Linked DNA regions of Saccharomyces cerevisiae S288C. Changing the gene in region 3 together with the main gene of any one other region gives a genetic interaction. Each region holds a gene or a part of one and is shown on either strand. Other genes may lie near its edges.

What was found.
Region 1: mutations in STU2 (region 3) and SNF6 together harm fitness more than expected from each alone (negative genetic interaction), as found in Saccharomyces cerevisiae (2 studies listed by BioGRID).
Region 2: mutations in STU2 (region 3) and MCD1 together harm fitness more than expected from each alone (negative genetic interaction), as found in Saccharomyces cerevisiae (2 studies listed by BioGRID).
Region 4: mutations in STU2 (region 3) and MAD3 together harm fitness more than expected from each alone (negative genetic interaction), as found in Saccharomyces cerevisiae (3 studies listed by BioGRID, with this or other methods).

What each region holds. Positions count from the first base shown.
Region 1 is NC_001140.6:52,765-56,691, forward strand, and holds SNF6 (Snf6p), read left to right. Parts: upstream 1-2,086; coding exon 2,087-3,085; downstream 3,086-3,927. Other genes in the region: alkaline-responsive transcriptional regulator RIM101, read left to right, coding at 1-224; YHL026C (uncharacterized protein), read right to left, coding at 455-1,402; RIM4 (Rim4p), read left to right, coding at 3,885-3,927. UniProt on the Saccharomyces cerevisiae protein: Involved in transcriptional activation. Component of the SWI/SNF complex, an ATP-dependent chromatin remodeling complex, which is required for the positive and negative regulation of gene expression of a large number of genes.
Region 2 is NC_001136.10:442,454-446,898, reverse strand, and holds MCD1 (kleisin alpha), read right to left. Parts: upstream 2,217-4,445; coding exon 516-2,216; downstream 1-515. Other genes in the region: ATP16 (F1F0 ATP synthase subunit delta), read right to left, coding at 3,388-3,870. UniProt on the Saccharomyces cerevisiae protein: Cleavable component of the cohesin complex involved in chromosome cohesion during cell cycle. The cohesin complex is required for the cohesion of sister chromatids after DNA replication.
Region 3 is NC_001144.5:234,305-239,677, reverse strand, and holds STU2 (Stu2p), read left to right. Parts: upstream 1-1,974; coding exon 1,975-4,641; downstream 4,642-5,373. Other genes in the region: FRE8 (putative ferric-chelate reductase), read left to right, coding at 1-331; YLR046C (uncharacterized protein), read left to right, coding at 865-1,677.
Region 4 is NC_001142.9:408,890-413,219, forward strand, and holds MAD3 (Mad3p), read right to left. Parts: upstream 2,152-4,330; coding exon 604-2,151; downstream 1-603. Other genes in the region: chaperonin-containing T-complex subunit CCT3, read left to right, coding at 1-273; VTC4 (Vtc4p), read right to left, coding at 2,345-4,330.

The DNA.
Region 1 (3,927 bases), on a different chromosome or scaffold from region 3:
AAAGCGAGATAGAGGATGATTTCGTAGAGATGTTGGGTATAGTGAACATTATCAAGGACTACTTGTTGTGCTGTGTCATGGAAGATTTAGATGATGAAGAAAGTGAGGACAAAGATGAAGAAAACGCATTCTTGCAAGAATCTTTAGAAAAATTGAGTTTACAAAACCAAATGGGAACTAACTCAGTTCGCATCTTGACCAAGTATCCCAAAATTTTGGTATGATATGGATTGTCGGATATTTTATTCTTAGTTGTTTCTTTGCGGCTGTATAGTAAATGAATAAATCACACATGCCCTAGCGCGGCGTCGCGGATTAAACAAGGTAACAATGGTTAAAGGAAAAATTATTTGTTAAGGTGGGTATATTATAGATTGCTAATTGTAAAGTATTAATAGTTTATTAAGTATTAAACTAGAGTTCGCACATGCTTTTATTTTTTTGTTGCTTTTCTTCACGCTACCGCTTCTTGAGACTGTTGTTTGGTAGTACTGATATCTTGATCGGTTGATCCCGAGCTGCGATTACCCGTGGAGCAAACTTCTTGATCCTGCTGTAGCGTACCGTTTGCTAAGCCTTCATAGTAAAGTTCCTCGTGAAACTGGTTTCTCAACACAATGACGATGATGGCCACTGGAGTGCATACAAAGGCAATTACAACGGCATAAATCAACTTCATGACCTGCGGTAGTGGATAATCGTTGAAGTAGTAGTCGTGGGACCCGACCTTATGGCCTATACCAGCAAGGATACCCATAGTGACTGGCCAAATGACAATGAACATGGCAATGGCTAGGATCATAGATCTGATGAATTTCTGCACAAACCATTCTATAAAGTTCATGAATTTGGACTGAGTAGAATCATGAATGAACTGAGATGTGAGAAAACCTTTCAACGTAGCTTCTTTACCTTTGGGAATGATTCCTCTATTGACCTCTAAATAGCCAAAGAGCCAATTATGCTTATGATACAGAGTGTTCTGCTTCGCAACGACGTTGTCTTTGGATTCGAAGTAATCCACAATGAAACGCTTTTTAGGGGGTGGTATTTCTTCGTTAGATTCGGTTTTCAGTGGTGACGGTTTCGTAATCCATTTATTCAATCTGAAAACAGGCCTCTTGTAGTCATCGAATCCAACTAAAATTTCCTCGCTAGCCCATGTAAGACCCACCTGGATGAATAAACTTAGTGCACAATCGCCTGAAATGGTGTGAGGAAATGCCCATAAGGTGATAAGATCTACACGGGAATGGTACATGGCATATGCGATGGCAAACTCGATGCCGCCCGAGATTATTGCAGAACCTAGCGCTTGGATGACGAAAAGGTAGAAGATGATGAACCAGATGGAATTTCTGAACCCGGTCGGGGTCGCTGGCGCTGGCTCTGAGGATTTCATATATGTGAAGAGCGTCTATTTTCAAGGGTGTTGATGCATATATATCCGTATATATGTGTGCCGGTGGAAGGTTATAACATCTTGAAGAAAGAAAGAGGAGAAATTGGTTTTAGATCAAGGACAGATAAACTATATCTTTCAAAAGCCGATGCAAATCGTATACAGCAAATATCAATGAAGGAATGCGATGGAGGTGATGCTAGTGTGGACTGCACTATTTTTTTTTCCTGTTTTTTTCCACTTTTGTGTAGGAAGAGTATTGAATCAGGAAAGCGGGAAAAACCGCAAAGAAAAAAGTAAACTTATCCGTGAAAATCAATTACATTACCGAAAATGGCAAGATCCAAACAAGAAAAGTAAGTAAACGAATGCGAATACTGGAACAAGCAGGGCATAAAGAGGCACATGCGTCGTTTGTAGCCGACGTGCTTCATTTATCAGGTTAGTTGGCAGCGGCTGGACCATACAGGTTCTCACAATGTGTTGGTCTACGTTCGGTCATGCACCACGGTTGTTCCGTCAAACGGTCAGAAAACACACGCGGAAAATCCAAAGGAAAAGATGGGAGAGAAAAAACATGAAGTTGAGAAGCAACGAAACAAGGTTTGATCCAGAAAGGGGAGGCTAAAGGCGAAAAAGGCGAAAGAAAAGCGTTTAAGAGAATTTTACAAACGTAGTAAAATAATGGGTGTCATCAAGAAGAAAAGATCGCACCATGGAAAGGCTTCGCGCCAACAATACTACTCTGGGGTACAGGTTGGGGGAGTAGGCAGCATGGGCGCCATAAACAATAACATCCCGTCGTTGACGAGCTTCGCGGAGGAAAACAACTATCAGTACGGATACAGCGGCTCCAGTGCCGGCATGAATGGCAGATCGCTTACGTACGCGCAGCAACAGCTTAATAAGCAAAGACAGGACTTCGAACGTGTACGACTTAGACCAGAACAGCTCAGCAATATCATACATGACGAGAGCGACACGATATCGTTCCGATCCAACCTTTTGAAGAACTTTATAAGCTCGAACGACGCATTTAACATGCTGAGTTTGACCACGGTACCGTGCGACAGAATTGAGAAGTCCAGATTGTTCAGTGAAAAAACAATAAGATATCTCATGCAAAAACAACACGAAATGAAAACACAAGCGGCAGAGTTGCAAGAAAAGCCTCTGACGCCACTTAAATACACAAAACTTATAGCTGCGGCAGAGGACGGAAGCCGTAGCACAAAGGATATGATAGATGCTGTCTTCGAGCAAGATAGTCATTTGAGGTACCAGCCGGACGGCGTGGTCGTACATCGTGACGATCCTGCGCTGGTGGGTAAACTCCGCGGAGATCTCCGCGAAGCGCCGGCGGACTACTGGACGCATGCTTATAGGGATGTTTTGGCGCAATACCACGAGGCCAAGGAGCGTATCAGGCAGAAGGAAGTAACTGCAGGTGAAGCACAGGACGAAGCCAGCTTGCAGCAGCAACAGCAGCAAGATTTGCAGCAACAGCAACAAGTAGTGACTACAGTTGCCTCGCAAAGTCCTCATGCAACTGCAACGGAAAAGGAGCCAGTACCCGCCGTGGTTGACGACCCACTGGAGAACATGTTCGGAGATTATTCCAATGAGCCGTTCAACACCAATTTCGACGATGAATTTGGAGATCTTGATGCTGTATTTTTTTAATAGCCATGGGCGGCTACTTCTTGGAAATATATACTTTCCTTTTACATATTTAGTATAGTTATACATGTGGATGTGTATGGAGGTAAGATCAGATAGACCCTTCACTGTTTTCTGTGTATTCCTTGTGACATAGTGGATTTGTGCAGCTACTGCTTATAGGAAGCAGTGCCTGCAAAACAATTCATTCGTTGGTTGATGTGGCGCGCTGACTGAATGTGTAGGGTCTGTTGTTACCCCCTTGCTCCGGGGGCCCACATCTCTCTGACGCGAAGAAAGGCTCGAGATGTGCCAGTCGTAAACACCGCCTCATTTCCCTTGCATTCTCCTCCAGTGAAAAAGCAGTACGACCTATCTCCGAAAAAAAAAAACCTCCTGTGCGTTTACTGTGGATCATGCAACACGATTTCTGTAGATTAAAGACGTTTTTGGCATGGACTAAGCTAAATTCCGTTTGATTAGCCGCCCATAACGGGTGGCAAACAACACGATGAAACTCTATATCCCCGCTTAACGTTTCGGCGGCTGTGATCAAGGAAAATAGTATATAAGTTCGTCGGATTTCTTATTTGTTTTCTCTCTTCCTTTCTCTCTCCCTTTCTCGTGCTTGGTTGTTTTCCTTAATTAGTTAAAACAATAAAAGAACAAGAAGGAGAAGGCGATTTTGGACTAGAAAATCACGAAGAAAAAATATCTAATTGCATTCCTATATATATTTATATACATACTCTCTATTGTTTGTTTTTTGCCTGCTCAAGAAGAAAGAAAGAAAAAAATATTATCTTTTTTAGCTTGTTGAAACATGAAAACCGAAATCAGCACTGCGGATTCCCTTCGTGATCCTC
Region 2 (4,445 bases), on a different chromosome or scaffold from region 3:
GAAATTGTTCAACTTTATTGTTTTGTATATTAGATAAAAAGTTGAGCCTTTAAAAACTGCATAATGTTTCCTCTGGCTGCTAATGTACCAAAGCTAATGGAAAAGAAGATTGTTTGGCCTGGAAAACTTTCTAGACGTGGCTTTATTACCAGGGTTGTGTAAGATTATGTAAGATGGTCAGTATGTAGCACTTACAATGGACCTTTCTTCTATTCCCAAGGTTTCCATGAGAAAATTTCGGCTTCACCGGTGTACGTGGGCAGACGATTCCTAATATCACTATTCAAAATAATACAGCAAGTTTTAGAATAAATACTACCCATGCACCAGCGTGTAGAGTTGCCAAGATCATTCTGCCTTGCGGCCAGTAGTGGCTCTACCGCATTAGTTTGAATTTTATCGTATTTTGTGAATATTAATATTAAATATTGACAATTTTATAAATTAAAGTCTTTGATCTATATATGCATCAGCTTATTGGGTCCACCAAGAAATCCCCTCGGCGTAACTAGGTTTTAAGCATTGATAAACCTTTCAAATAGTGCAGGTTTGGCGTCTATTTTAATATTTCCGAATGCTTCTGTTTGACTCAAACCAATACATCCTTCTGTAGCAAGTGATAAAATATCGAAAAATCCTCTACTGGCTTCTCTTTTAGTAATATTTTCTGGTTCTGTATTTGCTTGACTTTTTAGTACATCCGTGAATATTACTTCTTTTTCTTCGCTTAATTCCTTCCTTAAAATCTTCGCCATTTGAACAATAGCTTTAGAAGCCACCTCACCGGGAGTAGGACGAACTTTTTCAGTTTGGATGGTAGTTTGCTCATTTCTAGTCTTTGCGTCGATGATATTCTCTTCAGGAAAAGGAGCCTCATTTAAGCCAGCATCAATTGGTACGAAGTCTGACATGTTATCGGTCAGTTCATTGAAGGAGTTATCGTTTGTTCCCGCATTACTAATTACATCGTCGGTAAGATTAAGCGACACGTTTAACTCAGGTTCTTCAATTGACCCTTCTCGCCCATTATGTATTTTTCTTTTTTTTAGAGATTCGTAGGATAAGAAGTTCTTAAGGATTGGATCTGGTAAATAGGACATACTTTCAGTTATTTCACTCCATAATCTTTTAGTCGTAAAATTGGTGGGCTGTGGAGTCAATAAATTATTCGATCTCTCCTCTTTGTATGTATTGGATGAAGCTATGCTTTCTGAATTTTCTGTTTCTTCATCGATTTGAATACTTTTGGTATTCAGTAATTTTGAGTTCCTTCTTGTGCCAGTTTGTTTTGGCTGTGATTCTGTCATGGCATCGGTTATCGTATCTATATTGCCTGCGGGTGCTTCTTTTTCTATATCCAGATCAAATCCAAAATCCGTAGGCTCCTCAGACATGATTGATTCACCTAGCCTTCTTCCTTGCTCAACAGAGTTATCGTCATCATCGTTGTTCTGGTCATTTTTTTCGGTAATCCCTAGATCCCAACCAATAGTTCCAGCATCATCAAGAGGGAAATCGTCATCTTGTATGTAATTTTCGTGCGTATCAAAGTTGCGTGAGCTTTGTCTTGTTCCTTCTTCCCAAGATTTTGAAGTTATCGGACCTTCCTCGATGTCAAAATCAAGGTTCATACTAGACAAATTATTATGTTCGAAATCTTCATCTGGACTGAATCGTCTACCGACCTCAAGTGAAGTATCCCAGGGAGCAGCACCTTGGACTTTTCTTTCCATCGAATTCTCCTGCGCCATTAAGCCCACTGGTATAGTAGTATCATCTAAGAACTCTAACCCTGGGGTGACCAAAACTTCTCTTTCTGTAACGGCATCTTCTAACATCAATTGATGAACCCTTGTTACAGTGTTCAGTCTGTTTACTGTAGAAGTCATCTTCTGGCTTGTTTTAAATAACATACTTATCTTCGTTAATGTGTCCTTTATATCTGTAAGGAGAAAAGTGGCCTGTTTGGAATATACACGAACAATGCCTTGAAGTAATTCGCCAGATGTTCGTAAAGTTATGTATTCATTGTCCCCTGATTCGTCATCACAGCCAGAAGCTTTTGCAATTTCCTTTGCTGATTCAGCAATATGTGTTTGGATAACCGATCCTCTTGGTATATTCGACATATTTGAAGCAAGCCATATTTGTGCTAATGGACCCTTATTGGTGGCAAGTCTTAAAACAGTAAGACGTTGAGGATTTTCTGTAACCATTGTCGTGTTTCTTGTAAAGTAATTGTGCAATTGAGTTGTCTTTTCTTTGACCAGTCCTTTTTTGTTATGGATTTTCCTTTTATTGGTTTAACAATTATGTTCTCGTGACAATGGGAAAAAGGTCGGCGATTTAAGCAATAATAATAGCAAAAAGAATACTTTTTAGCACCCTATATATATGTACATATATATATATATATCATAATGAAGACAAATTCTGCTACTTTTGATACTGTATACCATACGTATGCAAGCACTGTGAGAGTAGAAAGACGCGATTTTCTCGACGCGTCCCTCCTCGAGTTATTTGTTTAGCATAAATTTTCAAACGCGAAAAATTTGAATTTCTTTTTCATTATATAATAAACGCGTTTGAAGAACATTTTTGCAGTGGTAATTGTTTTTATTTAAGAGGCCGGGAATGAAATCATCATCTCACATCCAGTCTACAGGGATCTTTTTCTTTACAAACTCTTATTCGCATAAACATTCATATTTTTGATTAGGTAATTGGAGTTCCATCACCATCAATATAGCAACTAATGAACATTCATTCTCAATTAAAAGCACCTTATTATGGAGGCTCCTTAATTTTCTTGTTCTCATACTTTTATAATCAGATATTTTGTTGAACTCAATCTCCCACTTTATTCGTGATTTAGTGTAGAACAAACTTTGGTGTAATTACTGACACGAATACGAGGAAACACTGGTTTTCGCTGGGGCATGAACGTTTTTTTCATTTTTTTAGAATATACGGCAACAGTGCCCGAAGTAAAATTGCTGTGCAAGAAGGACTAAAACATAAATAGGAAGGACTTAGGGAAGTGAAAACTCACTGGAATAACACGATGATCTGCAACTAGGGCTTTCATACAGGATTTAAAGAAACAGTTGTAAAAAGTATTACTTTCTAGGACTATTAGTTATGAAAATTACATGTTAATGTTTTCTCTTTTGTTTTCTTGTTTTTGAATATAAAATAATAAAATTTTCTGTATATATACGCTAATAAACGGTTTCTCTGTATACTTAAGACATCAACCAAAATGGAAACTTAAATTCGAGTAGAACAAACAATGAATTTTGGCGCTTTCAAGCGAATTGCTTGTCAACACTTAAAAACGTAGACTTCTTCCCCTCAAGTTCTAGAATGCGTACCATAAAAACGCTATTTCAATACGGATTGTAGGTTTTCTAAAACTTCTACTTGAATTGCAGCTTCTGCGGCTTCCCTGGCATCAGATGAACTAACGTTCTTCTTAGCTTCTGCCAACAAATTTTTTATATTTTCTTGTGAAAAGGATTCCAATGGAAAAGCTTCAATTGCAGTTACACATAACTGCGAGTCTGGTTGAACTGTTGCAAATCCACCTGATATAAAGAATTTTTTAGAGTTAGAGCCTTCCATAACTTCAACGACACCTGGTAGTAATTGTTCAACGGTGGGAACATGGTTGGCCAATACACCAATACGTCCTGACTTAGCAGGCAGGTTCACTTGAGTAACTTCGGAGCCACTATATAAAGTTTCGTGTGGTAGAGCAAATTGTAACTTCAAACCTGATGATGCGGCAGCAGCTTCTGCATATGAACGCTTAGCGACGAAATTCAATGATCTTGATGCACTCTTTCCAATAATTGAACGTAACATTTTCCTATCCTCACGGCTACAGTTATACCTTCACAAATTGATTGAGGCTCTTTTAGCAGTGTGTGTACGATACCTTTATTGTTATCCTCCATCTAATTTAACATGAACTTTTACAATGATGGGACGGCCCCTTCCTAGACGACTCCATAATGCGCTTTGATTGGCTGGGCATCTATTTTCGTTAAAGGTGATTACAGGCGGTGACCGAGGTGAATAATATACAAATTAGCTATTATTACCAAGTCCTAAGAATAATATTTAAATGAGGTTGTCTACATTTTTAGCTTATAGTCTTCTTTCTTTTCTATATTATTTGAAGTTGTGTATAAGTATTTTTATTGCAAGGCCAGAGCTTGTCAATCATCAATCTCCTAGGCATTTCACACTTGTCTTTCGTGTAATAGTAAGAAGTAAATATTATAATATTTAATGAATTGGTACCTTTTAGTTGTGCATCGCATACGTTGACCATTTTAAAAACTATTATATCTTATGTTTATACTATTTTCTTCCCAGGGAAGCAACGTCTTAATTACAATGATTAGGATATTACCCGCTTGTAACGAGAAAAGTTA
Region 3 (5,373 bases):
TTTCAGACAACCAAAGATCATTGAGCCACCTGCCCAAGATCCTTGTTTAGAGGCGGCGCCTAAAAAGATCAGAATTCCCGCAGGTGTTAAAGTGTTCTTTGGCAGGCCTACACTTGGAGATAAGGATTATGAATGGTGTCTGCAAACCGAATGTGATGCAGAGACGGATTCTATTCAATGTTGCAGGTGGGCGAATCAAGGCAGAGACCATGCTGAATATTTGTCACAAGTATGGGTTCTCGCTGCAGGCCCTAGAGGCTTAATTGAAAGCACCAAAAGATGGGCGACAGATGGTGGTTTACACTTTCACGGAGAAAGTTTTGCATTATAAGAGTTGCAAGTTGGCTATTAGTTTATGAGGCTTGGAAAATTCACGTATTTGATGGTGGCATATCTATAATGTCCCGTTTTGCTCTTTAATCTTACTGTCAAAAAAGGGCCCTATGTACGATCTTTTCTAACTGATTTTTTCCGAGAAAAGTTCCGCAGGCTGATTTAGTTTTTTTCTGGTGGTTGTCAAGCCTCTCTCCACTTGGTGATAGTTGCGAAAAATGACAGCGGATATTAATGGATATTAGCGGGAATAAGCACATTTCCATATTGATTATTTGTATGTCTAGCAACTTATAAGATGAATTATAAAAGGCATATAAGTTCTTCTTGGTACTGAATACATGACACTCTCACTACTGTACTAGAGACTTATTGTCGATAAAAGAACTCAACTGCCTCAATAGGAATTTTTTTACTAAAGCAATCACTGATTATGAAGGTTTTTATGCATACAATCCTCACAAAGGTGCAGCGATTGCATTTGTCGTTCTGTTTGGCATTTTAATCCTTTCTGCCTTGGTGCAGATCATAATGGCAACACACACGAGCAAGAGACGTATTCATCGCTGGGAAAACAATGAGTTGTCAGAGGAAAATTCCACAATAATATACTTTCCTGCCCGCGGTTTGATGTGGACACATTTTCCTTTCGTTTTAGGGATTTGTTTAGAGTTCGTGGGTTATGTGTTGAAAATAGTCTTTATCAATAGCCCCTCGATTTCGACTTTCATTGCTCAATCGGTGCTTCTATTGATAGCACCTTCACTTTACGCCCTTAGTATTTTTATGTTGTTCAGCAAAATGGCACGTCTAATTCTTATGGAGGCATATATGTTAATTCCTGCGAAATTTAGTACAGTTTCTTTCGTAGTGGCAGATATGATTGGGCGTGTCCTACAGGCTGTAGGAGGTGGGTTGTTATCCTCATGGAACAGCAGGAATACTGGGCGTATCCTAATTATTGTGGGTCTTTTCATTCAGATATTTTGTTATACCTTTTTAACGTTCAGTCAACTTTTTCTTCACTATAAAATGAAGGCAACGCCTAGTAAAATTGTGCGGGATAGTAATGAATGGTTCCAGTACAATTTTATACTTTTAGCTGGGATATTGCTGGTTAATGGTAGAACCATTGTCAGAGTAGTACAATTTCTAATGGGCTTACAAAGCTATATAGGTCAGCACGAATGGTGCCTTTACGTTTTCGATACAGTTCTAATGTTTTTACTACCTTTGATTTTCCTAGCAACCTTTCGCGCAAGAAATTTGTTCAAGCTGCAGGATAAATCTGTCAATATTCAATTAAACAAATTATTAGACAAGGAATCTGTGTCTGAAGATTAAGTAGTCAAAAATTTATTAATTAAATAGTTGGATAATATTTGTGCTGGGCATTAGAAGTCAATCTTGTCTTTTCCTTTATATGGTGCAAAGATTATCATGGTTAACGAATCTATTTTTTTTCGTGTCGTTTTTGTTTTTGTTTTTGTTTTTGTTTTGTCTGCTTGACACTCCATAGGAAGAGTAAATGAAGAACCTACCAGACCTAGGGACCAAATAGCATTACTAAACTACAAAGAAACAGCTATCTTTACAGTGTAAAGTATTTTTGAGTTTTTATTAAAGAGTTTGAAGTTGACTATGTCAGGAGAAGAAGAAGTAGATTATACAACGTTACCCCTAGAAGAGCGATTAACGTACAAGTTATGGAAGGCACGTTTAGAAGCTTATAAGGAGTTAAACCAGCTTTTTAGAAACTCCGTTGGCGACATCAGTAGGGATGACAACATACAAATTTACTGGAGGGATCCTACATTATTTGCACAATATATAACTGATTCTAATGTGGTCGCTCAAGAACAAGCCATTGTTGCCTTGAATAGTTTAATAGATGCCTTTGCGTCATCGTCTTTGAAAAATGCACATAATATTACTTTAATATCAACATGGACACCATTGCTTGTGGAAAAGGGCTTAACGTCCTCAAGGGCTACAACGAAGACGCAGTCGATGAGCTGTATACTCTCACTATGTGGTCTTGATACATCTATTACGCAATCGGTGGAATTGGTAATACCCTTTTTCGAGAAAAAACTGCCAAAATTAATTGCTGCGGCAGCCAATTGTGTTTATGAGTTGATGGCTGCATTCGGGCTCACTAATGTGAACGTTCAAACGTTTCTACCAGAATTATTAAAGCACGTACCTCAACTAGCCGGTCATGGTGATAGAAACGTTCGATCACAAACGATGAATTTGATTGTCGAGATCTATAAGGTTACGGGCAACAATAGCGACTTGTTAGAGGAGATACTGTTTAAAAAATTAAAACCAATTCAAGTGAAAGATCTTCATAAATTGTTTGCAAAAGTTGGTGACGAGCCATCGTCATCGAAAATGTTATTCGAGTGGGAGAAAAGAGAATTGGAAAAGAAAAGAAGCCAAGAGGAGGAAGCCAGGAAAAGAAAGTCCATATTATCGAATGATGAGGGGGAATATCAGATAGATAAGGATGGAGATACATTGATGGGGATGGAAACGGATATGCCACCATCAAAACAGCAAAGTGGAGTTCAAATAGACACCTTCAGTATGCTACCGGAGGAGACGATCCTCGATAAACTGCCTAAGGACTTCCAGGAAAGGATAACGTCGTCCAAATGGAAAGATAGAGTGGAAGCGCTGGAAGAATTTTGGGATAGTGTTCTATCGCAGACTAAGAAGTTAAAAAGCACCTCGCAAAATTATTCCAACTTATTGGGGATATATGGCCATATTATCCAGAAAGATGCAAACATTCAAGCTGTTGCACTAGCCGCTCAATCAGTAGAATTAATCTGCGACAAACTAAAAACACCAGGCTTTTCCAAGGATTATGTTTCACTAGTCTTCACTCCCTTGTTAGACAGGACAAAGGAAAAGAAACCTTCTGTGATAGAGGCCATTAGGAAGGCATTATTAACCATCTGCAAGTATTACGATCCATTAGCCTCCAGTGGACGCAATGAAGATATGTTGAAAGATATTTTGGAGCATATGAAGCACAAGACACCTCAAATCAGAATGGAGTGTACGCAATTGTTTAATGCAAGCATGAAAGAAGAAAAAGATGGATACTCGACCCTGCAAAGATACTTGAAGGATGAAGTGGTACCAATTGTGATTCAGATCGTCAACGACACCCAACCTGCTATAAGAACTATTGGATTTGAGAGTTTCGCCATTCTAATTAAAATATTTGGCATGAATACCTTTGTGAAAACATTAGAGCACTTGGATAATTTGAAAAGGAAAAAAATTGAAGAAACGGTCAAAACTCTACCTAATTTCAGTATTGCAAGTGGTAGTACCCATAGCACTATTGAAACGAATAAACAAACTGGGCCAATGGAGAATAAATTTCTCCTGAAAAAAAGTTCTGTACTTCCCTCCAAGAGAGTGGCATCTTCACCGCTGAGAAATGATAACAAAAGTAAAGTGAACCCAATAGGGTCAGTAGCCTCCGCATCAAAACCATCAATGGTAGCTGCTAACAATAAATCGAGGGTCCTGTTGACGTCTAAGTCTTTGGCAACGCCAAAAAACGTAGTAGCTAATAGCACTGACAAGAATGAAAAGTTGATTGAAGAATACAAGTACAGACTGCAAAAACTACAAAATGATGAGATGATATGGACCAAAGAAAGACAAAGCCTATTGGAAAAGATGAATAATACAGAAAATTATAAGATCGAAATGATTAAAGAAAACGAAATGCTAAGAGAGCAACTAAAGGAAGCGCAGTCTAAATTGAACGAAAAGAACATTCAATTAAGATCCAAGGAGATTGATGTCAATAAGCTGTCTGATAGAGTACTGTCACTAGAAAACGAGCTTAGAAACATGGAGATCGAATTGGATAGAAATAAGAAAAGAAATGATACAAACTTGCAATCGATGGGTACGATTTCATCATACTCCATACCTTCTTCCACCGTGTCAAGCAACTATGGGGTAAAATCTTTATCTTCCGCTTTGCCATTTAAGGAGGAGGAAGATGTCAGAAGGAAAGAGGACGTCAACTATGAAAGAAGATCAAGCGAGTCCATCGGCGACCTGCCGCACCGCGTAAACTCTCTTAACATACGGCCGTACAGAAAAAACGGCACTGGAGTGAGCAGTGTCTCCGACGATTTGGATATCGATTTCAACGATAGTTTTGCCTCAGAAGAAAGTTATAAACGTGCCGCTGCAGTGACATCTACCCTAAAGGCCAGAATTGAAAAAATGAAGGCCAAATCAAGGCGGGAAGGGACAACCAGGACGTAAAGGGTAGCCTCCCCATAACATAAACTCAATAAAATATATAGTCTTCAACTTGAAAAAGGAACAAGCTCATGCAAAGAGGTGGTACCCGCACGCCGAAATGCATGCAAGTAACCTATTCAAAGTAATATCTCATACATGTTTCATGAGGGTAACAACATGCGACTGGGTGAGCATATGTTCCGCTGATGTGATGTGCAAGATAAACAAGCAAGGCAGAAACTAACTTCTTCTTCATGTAATAAACACACCCCGCGTTTATTTACCTATCTCTAAACTTCAACACCTTATATCATAACTAATATTTCTTGAGATAAGCACACTGCACCCATACCTTCCTTAAAAACGTAGCTTCCAGTTTTTGGTGGTTCCGGCTTCCTTCCCGATTCCGCCCGCTAAACGCATATTTTTGTTGCCTGGTGGCATTTGCAAAATGCATAACCTATGCATTTAAAAGATTATGTATGCTCTTCTGACTTTTCGTGTGATGAGGCTCGTGGAAAAAATGAATAATTTATGAATTTGAGAACAATTTTGTGTTGTTACGGTATTTTACTATGGAATAATCAATCAATTGAGGATTTTATGCAAATATCGTTTGAATATTTTTCCGACCCTTTGAGTACTTTTCTTCATAATTGCATAATATTGTCCGCTGCCCCTTTTTCTGTTAGACGGTGTCTTGATCTACTTGCTATCGTTCAACACCACCTTATTTTCTAACTATTTTTTTTT
Region 4 (4,330 bases), on a different chromosome or scaffold from region 3:
GTAGCTGATGCTATGGAGTGTATTCCACGTACTTTGATACAAAATGCAGGTGGTGATCCTATTAGACTCCTATCCCAACTAAGAGCCAAACACGCACAGGGAAATTTTACAACAGGTATTGATGGTGACAAGGGGAAAATTGTAGATATGGTTAGTTACGGTATTTGGGAACCTGAAGTCATCAAGCAGCAAAGTGTCAAAACCGCTATTGAAAGTGCATGTTTACTATTAAGGGTTGATGATATTGTTAGTGGTGTAAGAAAACAAGAATAATAGCCTCGAGGTTAAACTTCATTACTGCCGTTTAATATTTGGTGTTTCTTCACATTTTTTTGTTTTTTTATACTATTGTAATGTATTTATATAGAATTAAAGTCCTCACTATAATTTTGTCATCCCTACAGTATGTCATAAGCGTTAATCGGACAAACGTTCATTTTAAAATTGGCCTTTTTATATTTATATTACTCCTCATAGGATTTAATATAGAAGTATCATTCGTTAAATAATCATTATATCATCTGTGCTTTAAATAAAAAAGTCGGCCGTCGATGTGTTTACGATTGGCCAGTATACTTACTCATTCATGGGATTAGTTTTATTTCAACGCTGTGGTGGGTACGATATGAAAGACGAACTCGACTTGTCATCATCTGAAATGATCTCAGAATTTTTGCTTTGAGAAAAAGAATTTGATTCTCTCATTTCTAAAATTGGGGTTAACTGCCGCGGCTTGACAGCTGAGATGATATCAGACGTCTCAGTGCTTCGTCCCTTTGGCGTCATAGGGCAGTTTATGTACTCTTCGCCAGAAAACATTCTTCCCTGGTTTGAGGGGGTCAACGACTTGGAGACTAAGGCTTTTCTACTTATTTTTGGTCTTTTCGATTGTGCTTCAGCTTCTTTTTGATTTGCGCTTTCTTCTTGCCCTAAATTTGCTTCTCTTGGATGTTTCCTATTTGTCCTAACCCTTTTATAAACGTTTCTAGAAATTGCCAAGACTTCTTCTAGCGAAAATTCTAGTCTACCACCTTTAGATTCCTCATCTTCACAATAAATCAGTTTAAAATTACAGTCAATTTTTTCTGGTTTCTGGTCCTTTGTATTAATCATTTGATAAACAGGGTCACTTCTACCTATAGAATCTCTAAAGATCGGTAGTTTTTCATCATATGGTCTCTTTTTTTGCGATAACATCTCATGTTGTTTAAGCTCACCCAAATTGGTATTTGCTTCTAGCAATGATATTCGAAGGTTGTTTTCTTTGTTCCTTTCTGCCTTTAAGTCAAAATTTTCCCAGCCATCTCTATAAACACCTCTATTCGGAGTTTCGAATAGTTCTACATCAGACTCTTCTCCATCTACAAATACGTTGTTTTTTGTTAAATTGACGTCACTTGATGTGCCATTTTGATTTGCAAGCTCTAGTCTATTGACAAATTCAGATCTGGTTTTCCCAAGTACTGTAGACTCTAATGAGTCCATCGATATTTCATTTCCTAGCTGAATATTGTTCTCCCCCAGTTCTCTCAGGAGATGGTTTAACCGGTCTTCTAAAACCTTATTAGGCCTAGCCTTATTTTTGATTCCTAGCTGTAGAATTTTCACGGCATATTGAAATTTTTCTTTCTGAATTAATAGATTCGTAAATTCTTCATAAAATGACGCTAACTCGGAACCAATTCCATTTCTTAACATATACATGAAAATGTCTCTGCTTTCCATGAATGAATTTCTGGTAAAAAGTTCTATGTACCAAAACCATATTTTAAGAAACCTAACATCATTGCGATATCTCTCCAAATCCTTTAAGTGAGATAAACATCGCTCCAAAAGGGTGAGCATTCCAGATTGTTTGGAATTACCGCCTTGTGGATAGGCGTTGTTCAGCCACTTTATGTATTCAAGATACAAAGTAATTGGGTCGCTTAATGCAGGGAGCTCATCTATCAGTCTTTGTTCGAAGCTTGATTTAACTTGGTTTATTTCCACCAGTGGTTGATGTATCGCTTTCGAGAGTGCCGCTGCTGATCTGCCTTCCTTCAGGGGAAGAATGTTTTCTTTTTGAGTTTCGATTTCTTCAAAGTTAATAACATTTTGTGATGGTGACGATGGCATGTAAGAGATACGTTTCTTTGCGTACGCTTTCATTCTATCAAGTTAACGTCTTTTATTGTATTTTCGCATGATTTTGTTTACTATTTTTGAACCAGTGTGCGCCTGGTGAAGGTGTGCATTTCAGGCAAGAGGGTAGTTCTCATATATAAAAAAATGGCGCTAAAGAAATTATTATATCTAATATGATTATTACTTAATTATACAGTAAAAAAAACACGCTGTGTATTCATTTAGCAACTAGGTTGCAGAAAAAGGAAAATAAAATAGAGAGAATTAGAAACACAGAAACCATGCCGGGCCCGATCTTATCCTCATAATCTACTGCTCTCTTTAGTCTAATGTTTACCACTCTCTTGGCATAAACCATAACAGTACGTATCAACACAGCCAAGGAAGTAATAAAGAACCCAATGGAGCCAATCATGGCTGTTGGTGAACCATATGTTAATAAAGTAGTGGAGACACCGCCCAACAATATCGAGATGGACAACCAAGACAGGTAGGTTCTTTCAGTGGCAAAGTAAACTTTTGGTTCCACACGAACTGGCACACATATCGTCTTTCCCGGTGGGGCACGAATTTGAGTATCAAAAGTAGTACCTTTTGGGATTTTAGATATTTGATCACCGTTAAAATAGTGGTCAAAAAATGCCACGATTTCATAGTATTTCTTGGAGATAGGATTTTCGGCATTCCTGATCTTTCTTTGATAATAAGCAGCATTAGCACTCTCAACAACATGATTAGTGTTGGAGGTGGGGGCCGAAGTAGCCCCGTAACCAACAGATTCTTCTATATCAAGAGAATTACCGGGTGCGTTTGTCATGGCAGCAACCAAAGCAGCGTCATCCTCATCATCCTCATCGAAGTCGTTATCTTCGTTATCGGATCTACCGGGTCTTGTTATTTCAATATTTGTTGGTAGTGGAGGTTTCCTGATATCAACATCCATTTGAGGTAACCAAAATGGGATTGAATCCACTTTATCATTTAGTAAGGTAGCCACACCATGAATAAACTTGGAGAATTTTGGGACTGGCTCAACTAAGTGAGACCCGACTAATTCACGTACCCACTCTGGAGGTTCTTGACCTAGTTGAGTTTGCAATTTAACTTCCAGGACTGCATATGGGAAACGGCAAATATCCTTGTCATCTAGCTGCTTGAATGGCCAATCGACACCAATATCAGTTCTCCTCCAATTCTTATGAGTTCTATCCACACCATCAAAGTTGTCTTCTCTCACCATAGTTAACTCTGTATCAAGGGAGATACGAACTCTTGCATCACCAGGTAATTGAAAAGCAGTTCTATTGTAGAATGATCTCACTACAGGTCTCAACTTTTTCTTTAACATGACGTATTGAATTTCGGATGCTAACGCCTCCAAGTTTTCAATTTCGTTCATTGGCTTCTTGCCTTCTTTACGCATCTTGGCAAATACTTGATCAACAGTATATTTACCCTTTAAGAAGTCATTAACATGACGTTCCTTTAGCGCAAATCTTGCCTTGACAGATTTCTCACCAGTCCAATCCTCTCTATGGGTCTTTCTTTCTACAAAGATCGTGTCTGTAGACATACCCCCATACCATCTCAATCTGTGGGCTTCTGCACCTTCATCTTTTCTTAATCTGCCATAATAAAGGTCTAGATTTTCATTATCAAAATAGATCGAAGTAATAGCGGAATCTTCTCTTTCGAATTCCTTATTAGTGTTGAAGACTAACACTGGTAAATGCTTCAAGATGATCAGCTTCAATTCTGTAATGTTATCAGGGTGAACCCAATACTTTGTTGTCTGTCTAACGAAATTTTGTTGCTTCCCACCAGCAGATGAGTCTCCCTTGATTGGGCGACCTGAAGTTCTGGCAATATCATATAGTTGGGAAATTTTAACGACTAGTTCGTCATAGTTTTCCTTGAAAAATGGTTTAGAGTCTAATCTAACTTGGAAAACTGGTTTCAAGATAAAACCTGTCTTCTTATCGTGTTTCTTGATAATCTTTTGGAAACCAGTGTAGTTTAGTCTCGAAAACTTTGCTAGATCATGAACATCGGCAATGATATCACTTAGTTCTTCTTCTAGAATCTCAAAATCTAGCTGAGTAGGAGGATTATTGGAGTCTAACAAACGAACAGTATGTTGCACTTGTTCTTGAACCTCTTTTACACGTCTAAAAACTTCACTATGCTTAACTTTGCAAAATGT